2 linked regions of the Arabidopsis thaliana genome follow. The protein of the gene in region 2 purifies or fractionates together with the protein of the main gene of each other region. This does not show direct contact. Each region holds a gene or a part of one and is shown on either strand. Other genes may lie near its edges. The genes, in order: CUL4 and DWA3.

The links.
Region 1: the proteins of DWA3 (region 2) and CUL4 purify together in Arabidopsis thaliana (affinity purification with western blotting, with the first as the bait; one study listed by BioGRID). This does not show direct contact.

The regions. Positions count from the first base shown.
Region 1 is NC_003076.8:18,730,866-18,738,748, forward strand, and holds CUL4 (cullin4), read right to left. Parts: upstream 5,951-7,883; 5' UTR 5,789-5,950; coding exon 5,542-5,788; intron 5,062-5,541; coding exon 4,946-5,061; intron 4,861-4,945; coding exon 4,514-4,860; intron 4,237-4,513; coding exon 4,056-4,236; intron 3,966-4,055; coding exon 3,843-3,965; intron 3,755-3,842; coding exon 3,467-3,754; intron 3,098-3,466; coding exon 2,972-3,097; intron 2,834-2,971; coding exon 2,732-2,833; intron 2,631-2,731; coding exon 2,577-2,630; intron 2,329-2,576; coding exon 2,222-2,328; intron 2,126-2,221; coding exon 2,065-2,125; intron 1,972-2,064; coding exon 1,840-1,971; intron 1,742-1,839; coding exon 1,604-1,741; intron 1,488-1,603; coding exon 1,407-1,487; intron 1,296-1,406; coding exon 1,215-1,295; intron 1,090-1,214; coding exon 1,009-1,089; intron 818-1,008; coding exon 704-817; 3' UTR 506-703; downstream 1-505. UniProt on the Arabidopsis thaliana protein: Component of the CUL4-RBX1-CDD (COP10-DDB1a-DET1) E3 ubiquitin-protein ligase complex which mediates the ubiquitination and subsequent proteasomal degradation of target proteins. Participates in the CDD complex to light-mediated control of development.
Region 2 is NC_003070.9:22,560,519-22,568,401, reverse strand, and holds the start of DWA3 (Transducin/WD40 repeat-like superfamily protein), read right to left. Parts: upstream 3,908-7,883; 5' UTR 3,618-3,907; coding exon 3,593-3,617; intron 3,301-3,592; coding exon 3,170-3,300; intron 3,075-3,169; coding exon 2,957-3,074; intron 2,750-2,956; coding exon 2,523-2,749; intron 2,428-2,522; coding exon 2,325-2,427; intron 2,182-2,324; coding exon 2,111-2,181; intron 1,772-2,110; coding exon 1,697-1,771; intron 1,607-1,696; coding exon 1,463-1,606; intron 1,356-1,462; coding exon 1,193-1,355; intron 666-1,192; coding exon 228-665; intron 133-227; coding exon 1-132. Other genes in the region: AT1G61200 (homeobox-leucine zipper protein-like protein), read left to right, coding at 4,982-5,069, 5,242-5,369; AT1G61190 (LRR and NB-ARC domains-containing disease resistance protein), read right to left, coding at 7,715-7,883. UniProt on the Arabidopsis thaliana protein: May participate in a complex which severs microtubules in an ATP-dependent manner. Microtubule severing may promote rapid reorganization of cellular microtubule arrays.

The sequences.
Region 1 (7,883 bases), on a different chromosome or scaffold from region 2:
TATTTCCATTTTTCTTAAATGTACGTGTAGATACATTTAACTATTTCACAAACCGTAGTATGAATTTTATTCAATTGTCTTTCAGTTGCGTACAATATTGATCAGCCATAGTTAAATGTCGTTAGGGACGTTCATCAAGTAAGCAATTTGATTCTCTCTGTTCTTTCTTTAGTTATTTGGTAGTGGTAAAAACAGAAATGCCTATAATGTAGTGTAAAAAAAAATCCGATTAAACTTAAGATTTAATTGCCTAAAAACGAAGAAAAAGCTCTAAGAACTATCTCCATTCAAATAAAACTCAAAAACGAAAACAAAATGGAATCAGCACATAGAAAACCCTCGAAGATATATAACCTATCTTAGGAACTTTATTGGAAGTTTGAATTTTTTTAAAACAAATCAGTTATTTTTGTAGGGAAACAAAAACATCTTTTAAGTTGTATAAAAATCTGAAAACAAAGAAGTCCCAAGAAAGTATGTTCAAAAAAAAAAAAAAAGTGAGAACCGAGGAAAAGTGAATCAAAGTAAGAAATAGAACTTAAGGCTGTACATAAGAACGGGCGGAACAGCGAGAATAGAGATGATTGGAATATCGAGAGTTCTTTTTTTTTTTCAAACTGATAAGAAAATTTCGGTCATCGTTTGTTTGTCAATAAATATACAAAAAGGAAAATATTCAAAAGGTGTGTTTACCAAAGAGATTCTAAGCAAGATAATTGTATATCTGAGGGTTGCTTTTTTCCCTCTCCAAATATTCTCGATCGATCAAGCTCTCAATCCTCTTCTTCAGATCAGCAGGCTTTATCGGGAATTTGAGCTGCAAATCACAAACATATATCCATTCATAGCAATGGTATATTAAATTTAGTAGACTACTGAGAACTCTAATCATCATCACGAGTATATTACCAATAGGACTGGACCTAGTAACGAATTTCATGCTTTCTTTTTTCATAAACCGACATGTTATTTCGGATTTTAAAATCATCAAGCAGGAGTGAAATTTACCTGTTGGAAGAGCTCAGTGATTAGAAGAGTATGGCTCAAGACTTTTCTTGTCTTCATAATACGAACAATGGCTGCATCGATCTGTAAGAGAAGGGTGTGATGGGGAAAACCATTTTGTCAAAATCTTTTCTTGTTTAAGAAGCCAAAGTTGTAAGAACGATTTCAGAAATTAGTATCGTAAAGGAAAATGGAGAGCAGAAACCAACCTGGTATTGTCGGTCCTGGAATACTCTTTCCGTTGTACTTGTGTTCTCCTCTACTGTCTCTTTCATCTGGATCGCATTTACCTGCACCCAGGAACAAAAGAAAGAATTGCTTCACTATAAGCTACATACAAAACAGTATCACAAGATTCTAGGATACTTTAAGTGAAGAGACCAAGAAAAAAACCAACGTACCTTAATGCGATACAGCGGAGCTGCAAACTCATCATTAAATTCAAATTCATCACCGTCTTCTACATCTCTTCCCTTAGGATTCTGCAAAAATATTTACACAATAAGGCTTATCCTTATGGAAAAAGGCAAAGCCATAATCTCGGCAGTTTCTGCATTAGCTGAAAAGAGAGTTAACAGAGTCCAGATTTTGGCCAAACCTTCTGCAGGACACGGACTTTCCCACAAGCAAGCGACTGCAAAGTCCTCCTCAGCTCCTTGTCCTCTATGCTGGTGGAATCTTTAATGTCTTCAAAGCTAAGTTTCATTGCATCGTTAAATAACATTAACACAACAGCCTGAGACAAAAAGAAAAGAGCAATTGATTAACACTGTAACCTCGGGAAGACAGGAAAGAGCTTAAAAGGGGGGGGGGGGGAAAAAAAATTTGACTGACCTGAAACAGGGAAACAGCCAGCTCCTTTTTACCTTTGGAGAAATCTGCCTTTAAAACACAGTGGCCTAATGAATTTTGCCACATTAACCTCCTACCACTGTACTTGCTTAAATAGAACTCTTTGAAGATATCCTACGAAACATACAGATAGCTTAGAAAAAGCTTGTAAGAAAACGTCCAACGAGGAAACAAAAAAAAATACATAAGAAGAACTTTTAGTAAAACCTGATAGACATTTAGTTCATGAGGAAGCTTAACATCCATAGGCGGATATGTTGGCCAGTACCTGTATTATAGACGGGAAGTTAACAAGCTTTATATATGTCATGATATCCGCATTCCAGCAGTTATATCCTGGATAAAATTGATACATTGTACATACCCTGTTGTTAAAACGTGGACACTCATCTCAATTCCCGATGGCAGTTTTGTTCTGGCCTGGGAAGATTGTTTGAATGACTCGTTGATTTCCTTTGACAATTCAATATCCTGGAGAAAATTTCAATAAAACGGAGAGTTCAAGCTCATTAGGATTATTGTAAATGTACACAAGTTCATTAAAATAAGTATGGAGCAGGATCATCCGCCAATCCTGTCTTAGATTGGATTAACAATGAATATGTATACCGGGGTATATCGTAAAACGTAACAAAATATAAGATCATTAAGTTTGTTCCTTAGTAAAACTTAAACGACCAACATCTTTTTTGAATATAGAGAAGGAGAAGAAAGGATACCTTGAACATCCCTTCGAGCTTGTTTGTAAACTGGCTACCACACTCAGTCTTAAGCTGTAGGTAAAACCAAGGTTGGGATCAGTGGGTGAGAACTACAGATATAGAAAACAAATTGTGGGAAAGGGAAACACCCAGAATATAAATCAGTTTTTAACCTTAGAGATCATGGATTTCTCAGCATCGATTGAAGCACTCTTTCCCAACAGGAGTCTCTTCGCAAGATCCTTTTTGTAAAATGCTTCGAACACATCTTTACCCTTTGATAAATAATAAAAATCCATCAGCAAAACCGATATCCAGAAGATCAAATAGCTGGTTTACAGACCATGCACTGGCCTCGAAGCAGTGATTTACAGTGACAAACACAGTACTAAATGTAAGAAATTAGAGATAACCTGGATAAATCTGAACAAAACCAAGACTTTTTCAAGAACACTCTCCAATTCTTCTTCAGAAGTACCCTTATTCCCAGCACGGAGTTTCTCGTCCAAAAACTTGGCAATAAGCTCAGCTGGCCGGTTCTGTAAAAAAGATTATCAGCATAAGATGTATATTATTTGGGATGCTTGCTAAATCAGAGTATTTGGTATCCAAAGTGATATATATTAGCAAACAACACTACTGTGATCAGGTCCAGTGCCCACAAGAAGCTTGATCTCAAAATTATGTTTGAAAATAGTATTCACTGCCCAAAGATGTCTCCAAATCATAGCAATACAGTGCTTAATCAGTAACGAAATCTATAGATTATTATAAAATATAAATTTCTCGATTTCACAATTGTAATTTAAGGTTGACATTTCCACAATAATCAGTATGTTGCTTTTACATGAAAGTAAAATTATTAGCAAGAGACTCAGGCAATAATCAAGAAAATCACTATTTGATACCTGTCGAAGATTAATCAGATGCTCAAACGAATCTTTGATTGTGTTACCAAATGATTCGTTCTTGTAAAAGCTCTCTTCCCATATTATGTCAAGAGAAGCCTTGAAGTCCAACAGTGATTGTACCATATCTTTGTCTTTCTCTTCATCCATAACAATCTTCTGCCCAGTTTTCCGAACATATGAACTTAGCGCCTGCCTCAGAGACTCAAGTGCATTGACCCTAGAAAACAAGGTTTGCATCCTCTGAAGGTCCTCCGTACGACGTCCATCCATTAATGTTGTAAAACCCTGAAGATGTTCAGAAATAAAGTAAGACTACGACAAACTAAAATTGGATAATATGCAAGCCAACACAAGAATAATAGGAGATTGGAACCTTTTCAAGAACAACAAGTATATGACGTTCGAGAAGTTGCCTTTCAACAGTTGTGATCAATGGTTTCCTGGTTACTGCATCTATGTAGAGTATGCATCTCTCATTCTCTTCATGCAACCTTCCCTGCACCAATCACCAGTAGAAACCTTAGAAAGACTATTAACCTGTAGTGCAGCTAATCATAAGGAAACTATATGAAGTCATGCAAGGCACCTCAACATGCTTCAGGTACTCCGGAACGTCAGACTGCTGCATGTATTTCATTCCTTCAGCGGCATAAAATTCAGAGGTCCCTTCAAGGAAAGGTTTCTCAAAGCTTTCCATATAAATTCCCAGTGCAGTAAACATCTTCAAAAGATGGCTTAGTAGAGTCCTATTAACAGCTTCTGCTAACCTGCAGGACCAATATCATGCAAGAAAGTTCAGCAGATTCAGATGAAAACATTATCCAATATATAAATGACATACACTAGTCCTGATTTGCCTTGAAATTTTACCTATAACAAGTTATCACTGCTAGACAGGAATAGTTCATAGACCATCCAAACTTACCATATTCACTCAAAAGCCAGAAAAATAAGTTGAGGTAAAGTGGCTTTATGAAATTATATTCTCAATGTGATAAATCAACCCTCGTTTAATTTTGGAAGACCAGAAGGTTAAAAATTTACCTTTCTTTTTCAATCATACTTAAGAGACCTTTAACCGTCCTCTGCTCAACTTCAGGGGCCAGAGAAAGATGCTTCCGGAAAAGCTGCAAACCCATCTCCCATAATGAACGTACATTTGGATTCTGTATCACATACTTCCTATCCAGAGTCAAGGCTATACTACGAATCATGAGCATCTGGTCACAAAAGTCTTGCCAGCATTTCTCAACACGTGACAAGAAAACAGTCAGATCAGTGTTCTGCCCAACTAAAGATTGCAAAGCTGCAGAGATGTGTTCTTCACACTCCTTCTCAATCTGGTCATAAAGCTTTCCATCCAACTTATGCAAGCAAAGGTTATCAACAGCCTGAAAAAACAATCACAATCTCATCAGCACGACATTTACACATACGAATAAGAAAGGAAGTAAGTAAATTTGCACGTAACCTAACCTGGTAAAGGCTCTCGAGGTCAAACGAAATTTTTTTTTTGAGGAATATAGCTCTGATAGCTGACTGCAACTTCTCCCATGTATTCTCCTCAAAGTTTGTTGGTAGAGTTGGTTTGGCTTCACATATATAATACAAATGGTACAATCAGAACCCTAATTATGAAAACACTTTTATCTTCAATTTGCTAGCCAGTCACAGTAAAGATGATTCTCAAGATGTTTTCTAATGGCACAAATTAGGTTTGGTGAGAGCTAAGCCAACTAGATTGTGCACAACAAAGATTCCGGATCTTAAGTACCTAGATCAGGCTAGACAAAGAGATTCCAACTTAGAAGAAATACAAAAACCCAAATCACTCATTCACATCAAAATTCAACAGTCACACTCAATTTTCCACTGTAATTTAACATCAAAACTCACACAAAACTTCCATCAATCGCAAGCCAATGAAAACCCTAAAAATCACGAACCTTAACAATTGTATCATTTCAAATCAATCCAGAGCATCAATTGCACAGTAGAGTAAAAGACCCAAATCAAATCCTAAGATTACGATCAAAATCGTAAAGATGAAAGAAATCGAAATCGAGCGAAACCTTTATTGAGCTTGATTACAAACTTCTTAGTAGGTTGCGGAAGTGTAGCTTTCTTCCGAGAGAGATTAGCGGCGGCGGGAGTTGGATCTTCCTCCATATGAAAGCCAACAACCTTGTCGGCGGTATTAGGGTGTTGAGGGGAATGGTGGAGGTCGTTTTTGGCCTTTTTCATCGGAGGAGAAGAGTAAGAAGAGTCGTCGGAGGCAGAAGCGGCGGAGAAAGTAGAGCGTTTGGTAGGAAGAGACATGAAAATGGGTGAAAATTGTGTGAGAGAATCACGAAGAGGAAGAAGAAGACATCAATCCTAAATAATAACAACCCTTTCTCTCTACCAAAAGCGCACTGTGCACTCTCTCTCTTTTTTTTTTTGCTCAAACCTACGCGAAAACTCGCGATTTAGACCCGACCCGAGAAATGAAGATTTTTTGTTTATTTATATACTCTGAATAAAATCAGAATTATTTTATTTATACATTCATAAATCATAATTACTATATGATAAAAAAAATATTATTGATAAAAATAGACATATACCGCAATGATTAGATGTGCGTTGTTTTAATGGTTACTAATCACAAAAGTGAAAAACAAAAAAATAAAAAATAATAATCAATTGTTGCCTGTTTTGTATGGTTATTTTTTATAACTACTTTTAAATTTTAACTACTTTTTATTTTTAGTTTTTGACAACTGATAAATCATATCTATTGTATATTTTTAGAGTCGAATTTTTATTAAGTCATTTTACGATTTAAAGAATAAAGAATCGATCACACGAGTCGATGCTTGATATTTAGATCATTTTTGATATATATTTTTATTTTTATTTTAAAGAAAATTGAGTTGATTTTTTTTCCATATATTTCTTTTATTTTTTAAAAAAAACTATTTTAAAAGAATATATTAGAATAAAATGCCTATAAAATAGACTCACCTATAACGTGGAGAATGGAGATAAAAATAGAGATGATTAAATACTTTTAGCAGTCGGTAATTTCAGGCAGAAAATTGTGTGATGTTAAAAGACATGAACGAAGAATCATCACTTGACAATATGAATAAATATAATATGATCGATGTCATGGATTAGCCAATGTGGGGCGTGTTGACTTGCTGCTCCACAGGGTTTTTGGACTTCCGGTTTAGGGTTTGGTTCTGATTACAAAATATGGGCTTATCAAATTATTTACAGGAGTTAATACTTTGGGCCTGATTACAAAGGTTTAACCGAAGCCTATCAAGCAGATAAGAGACGAGATGAGATTGTTAGAGCATCTCCATCGGCAAAAGTGGTAGAGAGTATCTCAAAAAGTAAATAAATTAATATTTTAATCAAATTAATATATTTTAATTAGTTTGAAGTAAATGAACTATTAATTGAATGACAACTCTCAATAAATGCTGAGAATAGTCTCTCTTGCCAGTTTCTCCACTTTTCTCTTCTTCTCTCATACTTTTTCTCTTTTTAATTATTATTTAATTGATGAGTATCTCAATCAGATATTCCGATGGAGATGGTCTTACAAGTGTTACCGAGACGTACCAATTGGCGAACTCATATAACTTGTGCTGTTGTGCGAATGTGTTTTGATTAGTGAGGGTTCTTGGGCCAAAAAACATGGCTGGTTTTTAAGTCGCAATTGCAAGGATGAATATTATTACAGCCACAGCCTCAACGACTGCATGGTCTTAAAACTTTTTATTACATGTTGATTAGCCTATGGAATTGTATAATTACTAATACAAAATGGTGTTCATTACATTCTCACCTCGCTTAAACTTACTAATAATTTTTTTTTATTTCTTTAATCCCTCATTAACATGTCAACACATTTATTTTTTCTTTATTCATGTTTCAAGACTATAGAATTTCTCAATTAATCCCAATTGATACTAATAATAGCAAATTGTAAGTCTCTTGGATCGTTGGATCAATATTTTCACATGCAAACATGTGAAAATGAGGAGTTATTGAAAAATTGTAAGCTTGACATAAAACAAACAATTGAACAATTTTAGCTTTGAATGGTTTGTACATGGAACACTGATTAATAAGATTGCGGATTAAAACCGCTTCTGTTTCACCATTTATATATTCTAATCGGTAGTCATGCTGAGATATAAAAGTAAAAATAAAATTGTTGTGGACTGTTTTTTCTTCCAAAATTTACATCGTAATAAAAATAGAAATCTTATGCAAAAATTATAAAGATTTTTTTTTAGCTTTTACTAAAAAATAAAATAAGATTTGTTTTTAGTAACGCTTTACCTTAAAAAGCTGCTAGAGTTTCTAACTTTCAGTTTATTATCATCAGCACAAACTCTTATGAAGATCTTCTATT
Region 2 (7,883 bases):
CCATGTCTCTTGAGGACTCTAACCCATTCTTTTTACTGTCTAAAGCTCCAGAATCAGTAGATGTCGCCCATCTTGCCTCATTGTACTTAGTACTTGGTGATCTCTGTACACGAGGCGGTTTCAGCAGCATACCTAAGTCAAAGATTGCAAGATTTCCAAAAGGATAGGATTAGATCATCTGAACGCTCAAATCTAATGAAACTAAGGTATGAACTGGGAGAACCTACATTTTGCTTCATCAGTCGGTGATTCTGGTAATAAAGCTTGTTCAAACTTGTTGGTGATACTCTTGATGATAGAATCGTCGGCATCATATGGGTTCCTACCACTCATTTCTGAATCAAACGCCGTCTCAGTATCTAGTTTCTTCTCACCATCCAATCCACTTTTCTTTAGATATCCAACAGCCACTGACTGCTTCTTTGTTTCATCAAACTTTGTTGGCGTCTTTCTTACATAAGCCGGTCTCAACAGCATGCCTGGCTTTGTTTTTGAGAAAGTGATAGATTCCTTTCCTGAATCAGAAGAGTCTTTCCCAATATCACTATCCCGTGGAACAACACTATGCACTACTAAAGACTTATTATCCCCTGCTTGTCCAGTAGAAGTTGCTGGAGTACTTAGAGATCCTGACTTATGTGCAACAGCCGAATTTCCGCCTGTAGCTTTGAAGAGAAGAGAGAATATTAAACCAAATATAAACGATAAGCATACAGAAGTGAGAGACAAATGAAATTTACACTGTCGCAAAACAGAAACTGACATTAAAGACTAAAAATAACAGTCCAGGTCACACAGTGGTTATGGCTAGCGATATTTAATTTATTCAGAAACGACGACCACCATTTCAGTCTCATTCAATTTCAATAGGTACAAAATTTAGGAATATACACCAACACATGCACGGAAAATATATGATTAGAGCAGGCCTAAAGATAAGGTAGCTTTCCTATCACTAATACAAGAAAACCAGAGTCAGTGATCTCTGCTAATAGTCCATTGCAACTAATCGTTAAATGTTGATTCACTTTCTAGATATAGGTGGTTGAGAGTAATAAGTAAGCTACCGCCCAGGGACTTCTCAAAACCTAACCAAAAACCTGCCATATCCTACTCTAAAACGAGAAACTTCAATAAGTTCAAGGTAGAAAACTGAATCTACAAACATCGAACAAAATTAACATTCACTCACAGTCGATGTATATGTTTTTGATCTCTTTCGTCTCATAATCTGGAGATGAGCTGCGCCTTGGGGTACTCTTTATTCTATCGAAGGACTGATCATCCAGAGCACTGAGTATTTTCTCCACGCACTCTTTTTTATCCGCAGATCCAATGCCGTATGGCTCAATCTGCTGTGTTAATTAAGGATAAAAGAAAAAACAAAAACATGAGCCTTCAAAACACTTATTTACCAGCTCGGACATAAATTTTTAGAGGAAAATCACAATAGCTGACATACTGATATATCTGAGACCCAAATCCCTACTGAATTTTGGTAGTATGAACAACCCAGGAGCTTTCCTTCGCTGATGCATAAGTCACCAAGCGTTGACCATCCCATATCAACACCATCATGGCAAACCACAGGTTCCCATGAATAAACCTGAATTATGAACATCAGCTTATGATATCAATGTTTTTGACTCTGGAGAACCCTTTATATGGTAAAGCTCATCACAAAGAAAATCAAAACCTTTAAGCTGTCATCCAAACCACAAAATAAGGTTCGCCCATCCGGATGAAATTTGATTGAACGAACTCCAGTAGCCTGTGAAAACAAGGAAAACCACATACCACATAAATTGTGTGAATAACATCTTCCGAGACGGCTACAAAGCTAGCTCAACGCCAAAACATATTTCATCACATGCTGCTTTCTGGACTCCGTTCACTTTTATTTACTTCTAAATCTTTTTAAGAACTAAATTTTATCTTGGCATTTCTCTAACACACTCTTCAGATCAAGGCCGAGAATAAGCAGATTTCTGATATTTTTTATGTGTGAGATTTCCCTTCAAGGTGATCACGCTAACAGGAAATAAACGTAAAAAACACTTGTTATAGAGTCCCCTAGAAAACAGTATCTAGTGACACCACAGGCTAGTACCTCTGGTCGGGTAGATCCAATCAATTCAAACGTTTCCAAATCCCAGAACTTTACAGTCCTGTCAGCAGAACCTGAATATGAATAGGGAGAGTGTGAAATCACAAGAATTCAATATAAAACTGTGATTAAGGAAATGTCAGTAGTTAATCTACCAATCGAAAACGACACCAAGTTACCCCTATAATGCCTGAAAAACAAAGAATCACAGACTAACCTGTGGCTAGGAGGAACTCAAGCGGGTGGAAGTCTAGCGAACGGATAGGTCCTTCATGAAACTTAAATTCATGCAAAAGCTTTCCAGCAGTCAAATCCCATACCTATTGGATACAACATATATAGCAGTATCGTTCTAAGATCATAAGTTTGAAAAATATGATGCACAAGCTTCATTTGTTGAAAATGCTGTTCTTACCTTTACAACATTGTCAAGTCCTCCGGAGACTACCCAACGACCATCGGGAGTAAACCTGATAGTGCTGATGCCACGAGAATGACCCTTGTACGTCTGTATGCATCCCTTCTTCCTGATGTCCCAAATCTTTAGATTCGCGTCACTAGATCCCGATGCCAAAAATTCACCAAAGGGATGAAATTCAACAGCAGAACAATTGGATCTATGTCCAGTAAAAGCTCGAACCACTACACTTCAAGAGCAAGAGTGAAAATGTTAGACCTCATAATTCTAAACTAAAAGTCTGGTACACTGCTCAAATAACCAAACCCATAATCCACATAGCCGATAACTCAAATGATATCCAATATATTCCCATTAAACAACACTAGCTCAACATAAAAGAAGCAACAAATATTCTAAAACAAAGGAGAGCAGAAAATCAATAAACTAACTCTTTGCTTCTTCAACATCCCACAGCTTTATCACACCCGAAGAAGCTCCAGCAAGTACCAAAACTTCAGCGGAGTCAAAAGCTACTGAATCCACTGCACTAGTATGTCCACACAGACTCTGCCAATAAAAGGCTATAGCATCATTCTTCTATCCATAATAAAACACAAATTTTCTGTCAAAGACATACTGAAGAAAGCAAATGTGAAACAAACCATTAAAGAAGTAGGCTTGCCAATCGCCCAAAGATTGACTTTGTAATCATCACCACCAGTTATAAAGAGCCGTGATGTCTTCTTTCCGATACTTAGACAATTCACATTTGCAGAATGTGCCAAAAACTCCTCTAAGTTTCCAAAATCAAGTTAAGTTATAAACAAACCCACAGAGAATAACATATCAACAAAAATAAATTCAAAGCATATCCAGAAAAAAAAAATTGGAGAAGACAAACATATTAATTGCAGTGTCTTTTTCTATCAATTTGCTCTCAGTTTAATTAAGCAAACAATAATAGAAACATTTTGACCAAATTGACGAAGAGCTAATAAACCAAAGCTTGTTTATGAAATAAACCCCAAGCGATTCAGTGATAAAGAAACTGTTAAAATTTCTCAAAATCGTCAATATAAGGATACGTAGCTTATAACCACGCTTCGCCATTTTTTAACTCGATTTTCCAGCGAATCCGTGAGGGGGAAATAGAAATTTGAATCTGGAATCGAATCTGTAGCTTCCGGAATCGATTTAAAACGGTGAATCGGAGCTACAAAAATCCGAATTGTCACTAAACGACAGAGGTCGAGATTTTAGGGAGATTTCAAAGGGAGGGATATGAGAAGAGATCGCTTTCCGTTGAGATTTGAAATCCAAAAAACGTGAGAGAGAATCAGATTCGGGGAAGAAGATTGAAAGAAACGAGACGAAATCAGATTCAAATAGTGACACGAAGCAGAATTAAGAAAGAAACAGAGAAGAAGAAGAAGAAATTTTGATAAAGCGAAGAAAGTTTTTTTTTTTTTTAATCGGTCGGTAGGTTTTTTAATTTTTTAAAAAATTTAAAAATATAATTAAGCATTTTTCTTGGACAGTGGACCTCTAGTTTCTTCGTTGTTCGTTCTTCTCGGTTCTGACGAAAACACCCTTTTGTCCGGGCATTGAATTCGAGTGGAAATTACGAAAAGAACCCTTGCTTCCAATTGACTTCTATTGGTACAGTTTTTTTCTCCAACTCCATCATAATTTGTTAGTTTTCTTTTGTCGAAAATATTATTTGATTGGTGAGGCAACACGTCATCATCTCTTGGTTTTGTTTGTTTCTTGAAGACATTTTCAACCTTAGGAATGAATTATAGTAATTTCAATCCATAGATGTATGATGGATGCTAACTGACGTTAAAAAAAGAAGAAGATTATGATGATAATTGTGTGTTTTTTTTTTTGACGAAATGGAATTATATTGAGCTTGAATAATTCAATTTCAACTGTTGTTCAAGACAAAGTAGCGGTTTAGCTACATCAATGTAGGAACTGGAATTCAAACAACCAAATTTTGCTAGTTTATGAGCCGTTTCATTACATCGACAACATTTCATATTCAGACAAATCAGTTTTTATTTTTTTATTATTTAACTTCTTGTGCCAATAGATAACATCTTGGTGTATAAAGATGTGTTAAGTAAAAAAAAAAAGATGCGTGAGTAGAACCAATAACCGGATCATGAAGTAAAATGATTTTAAGAAGAGGAAAAATGTCGTTTTATACGCGAACTTTCAAAAAGTGGTCATTTAATACGTGAACTTTTTGTGTGGCTAAATAAAACATAATAAAAACGTTGACCGATCATTTCACACAAATGTTATTGTTGACCAGGCCAAAATCCCCATGCCGTTATCTTTCATTAATGGATATGTTAGTTCCGTTAACACACGTTAATTAATTTCCGTTAATACTCAAAACGACGTCGTTTCATTGAAAAAAAAGAATCAATATTCCCAAATTGATTTCAAAATCCCTAAATTCCAAAATGGAATCCAATTCGTTTTTCTTCAATCCATCTGCTTCACATGGCAACAACATGTTCTTCTTTAGGAATCTCAATCCCGTTGTCCAAGGTTCTTTTCTCACTCTCATAATCTTATTTTACCATGTTGGAAGTTTCCCTGTTTTTGTTTTGTTTTGTTGTCTTGTGAATAAAATATGATGAACACACACACATGAGAACCAATTTGAATATGAATAACAACATTGACTATTGACAGCAGTTGTTCGTTTGAATTTATGAAGGAGGAGGAACAAGATCGATGATGAACAAGGAGGAAACATCAAAGCGAAGGCCTTTCTTTAGCTCCCTTGAGGATCCCTACGACGATGACTATTACGACGACCACTTGCTGAAAATAAGAGGCTGTTAGGGATTTGGTTTTTAGAATTTAAGGATTTGGTTTTTGGAATTTAGGAATTAAGGAATTAAGGATTTTTTGGAATTTAGGGATTTTGAAATCAATTTGGGAATTTTGATTCTTTTATTTTAATGAAACGACGTCGTTTTGAGTATTAATGGAAACTAATTAACGTGTGTTAACGGAACTAACAGATCCGTTAATGAAAGATAACGACATGGGAATTTTGGCCTGGTCAACAATAACATTTGTGTGAAATGGTCGGTCAACGTTTTTATTATGTTTTATTTGGCCACACAAGAAGTTCACGTATTAAATGACCACTTTTTGAAAGTTCGCGTATAAAACGACATTTTTCCCCTTTAAGAAGATAATATTATAGTGATTTGATTGTTGTGGGATATTTGATTTTGTTCCGTAATATGTTATCTTTTCATAATAAAATTTATCAAATTATTGGACAATTTTTCTCATTTCATTTAACTATTGAGAAAATTATGCTAAATTTTTGTCTCATGTTAAAAGTTGTCCACGATAGAGAGTAGTTAACATGTTTTGAATTGTAAGAATTCAAGTTAAAAACAATTCAGGAACAAAAAAAAAAAAAAGAGAGAAGATATTCTATGAGACATTTGTAACATTGGATGAACGAGGTTCAAGACCAGTGAACGATTGATCGAAATTTGAGTTTCTGAATTTGGTATAAGTTCTTGTTTTAAATGGTAGTTGATGTGGTGAACCCATTCACTACAGGAGAAAACAGGCTCTTGTTGTTGCCCCCAAATCAGAAACCTACCATGCACTAGACATTAGATCACAGTTTTAGTATCTGCATACTAGCTAGGTTTAGAGGACCTGAGTTTATGATTTTCACGATTTAACAAAATAAACCATCACCCAAATGAATCACACAAACAAGCTGCAAGCTAAAACAGAGATGCAAAAATAATACAATAAAAATAATAATAACATAATCCAAGTGAACAACACAACACACTGCAGAAAGATAAAGAAATTATACAATCCAAATGAACAACACAACACACACTAGAAGAAGAAATATAAAGCAATAGAAGAAGAAGCGTGGATTCCGATTTTAGACAGAGAGGAATCCGAATCCAGCGTAAAGTTTGTTTAGTCCTGTCTAAAGAAGAAGAAAAAGAAACAGAGTTAGATTCACATGTGGAAGCGAAGTCAGATCCTTCATGTTGTGGCAGTGAGTTATAGACACGCGGCATAGGTTGGTAAAGCAAGGAATTGTGGGACTGTGTAAATCATACGAGTCCGTCTTGCTTTCTTTGCACTTCATATATGTATCAATCTCTGAAACATGACTTCTTTCCACACTGATCATACGATAATACGAGATTGTTCATACCTACTAGCAAAGATATGTTGAATGGCTTTTGTTGAAAATCCCTAATCTCCATATGAGTAATGCAGCTCGCCAACCTTTGATCATTTGATATTAGCTCCAAACTCAACTCTGTGGATATCGTTATGGTTCGAACTTGTAGATGCTCCAAGAGCTGCAGCTCCTTCACTCAGCTTACATCTCCATGAACATTAGAATATAGTAGTTTCAATATTCTTAAACTCGAAAACTTTGGTATTCCACTGAGACTACCAAGTCTCTTTGCACAATCCAAATTCAGCTGAGTAAGATTTTTCAACTCTTACGTAATCTTCAGGAAACAGAGCACAATATAAGAAACACGACTTGATATTTTCATCCACCAAGCTATCGTAGCTGTACTTTAGAATTGGAAGAATTTTATTTTCCATGTCAGAAAAATCTGCAGCGGATCTAGTCAAAACATCGATTGCATGCTCCCATTCTTGTACCATAGTTTTAGATGTCATCTCTCTTGCCAACTCCACAATAACAGGATCTCTACTTAATGTGTTGTCTCCCACCTTTGTAGAGATTCCCAATCCTTGACTATTGGTTTTGTGGTGGCTCTGTAGAGATTCCTAGATCTCTTTTCTGAGGGGAGGCATATTCAAATTCAAATCCTTGATTTGATGCTTAAGTGATAGCGGAGAAAACGAACTGAGTCGTAAATCTAGTTAGAGATCATAAACAGAGGGATAAAGAGGATACCATAACACGCAACAAGATTAAGAAAGCCACTACACTAGAGATAGCTTAGGATTATATCACAATTTTAGTATACTCAGAATAGCTTTAGGGGATTGACATTAGAGAATCTAATTACAAGATCTTTTTCATCTGGATCCTGTAAATTATCAGTCACTTATTCGAACAACACAAAAATATTGGAACTTGTAAAAGAAAACAACAGATAGAAGAAGGACACTGCAAGATGAAAGAGAAACCAACAAATGGATTTCACCTAAACGCATAAACTTTTGATTGTGTAAAAATGTAGTCTGAAAAGGATGCAAAACGTTTTAGGGAATACAAAAGGAAAATGAAAAACATAATCCAAGTGAACAACACAACACATTCCAGAAGTGTCAGAATGCAAATCAATTATACAATCCAAATGCACTACAAGAAGA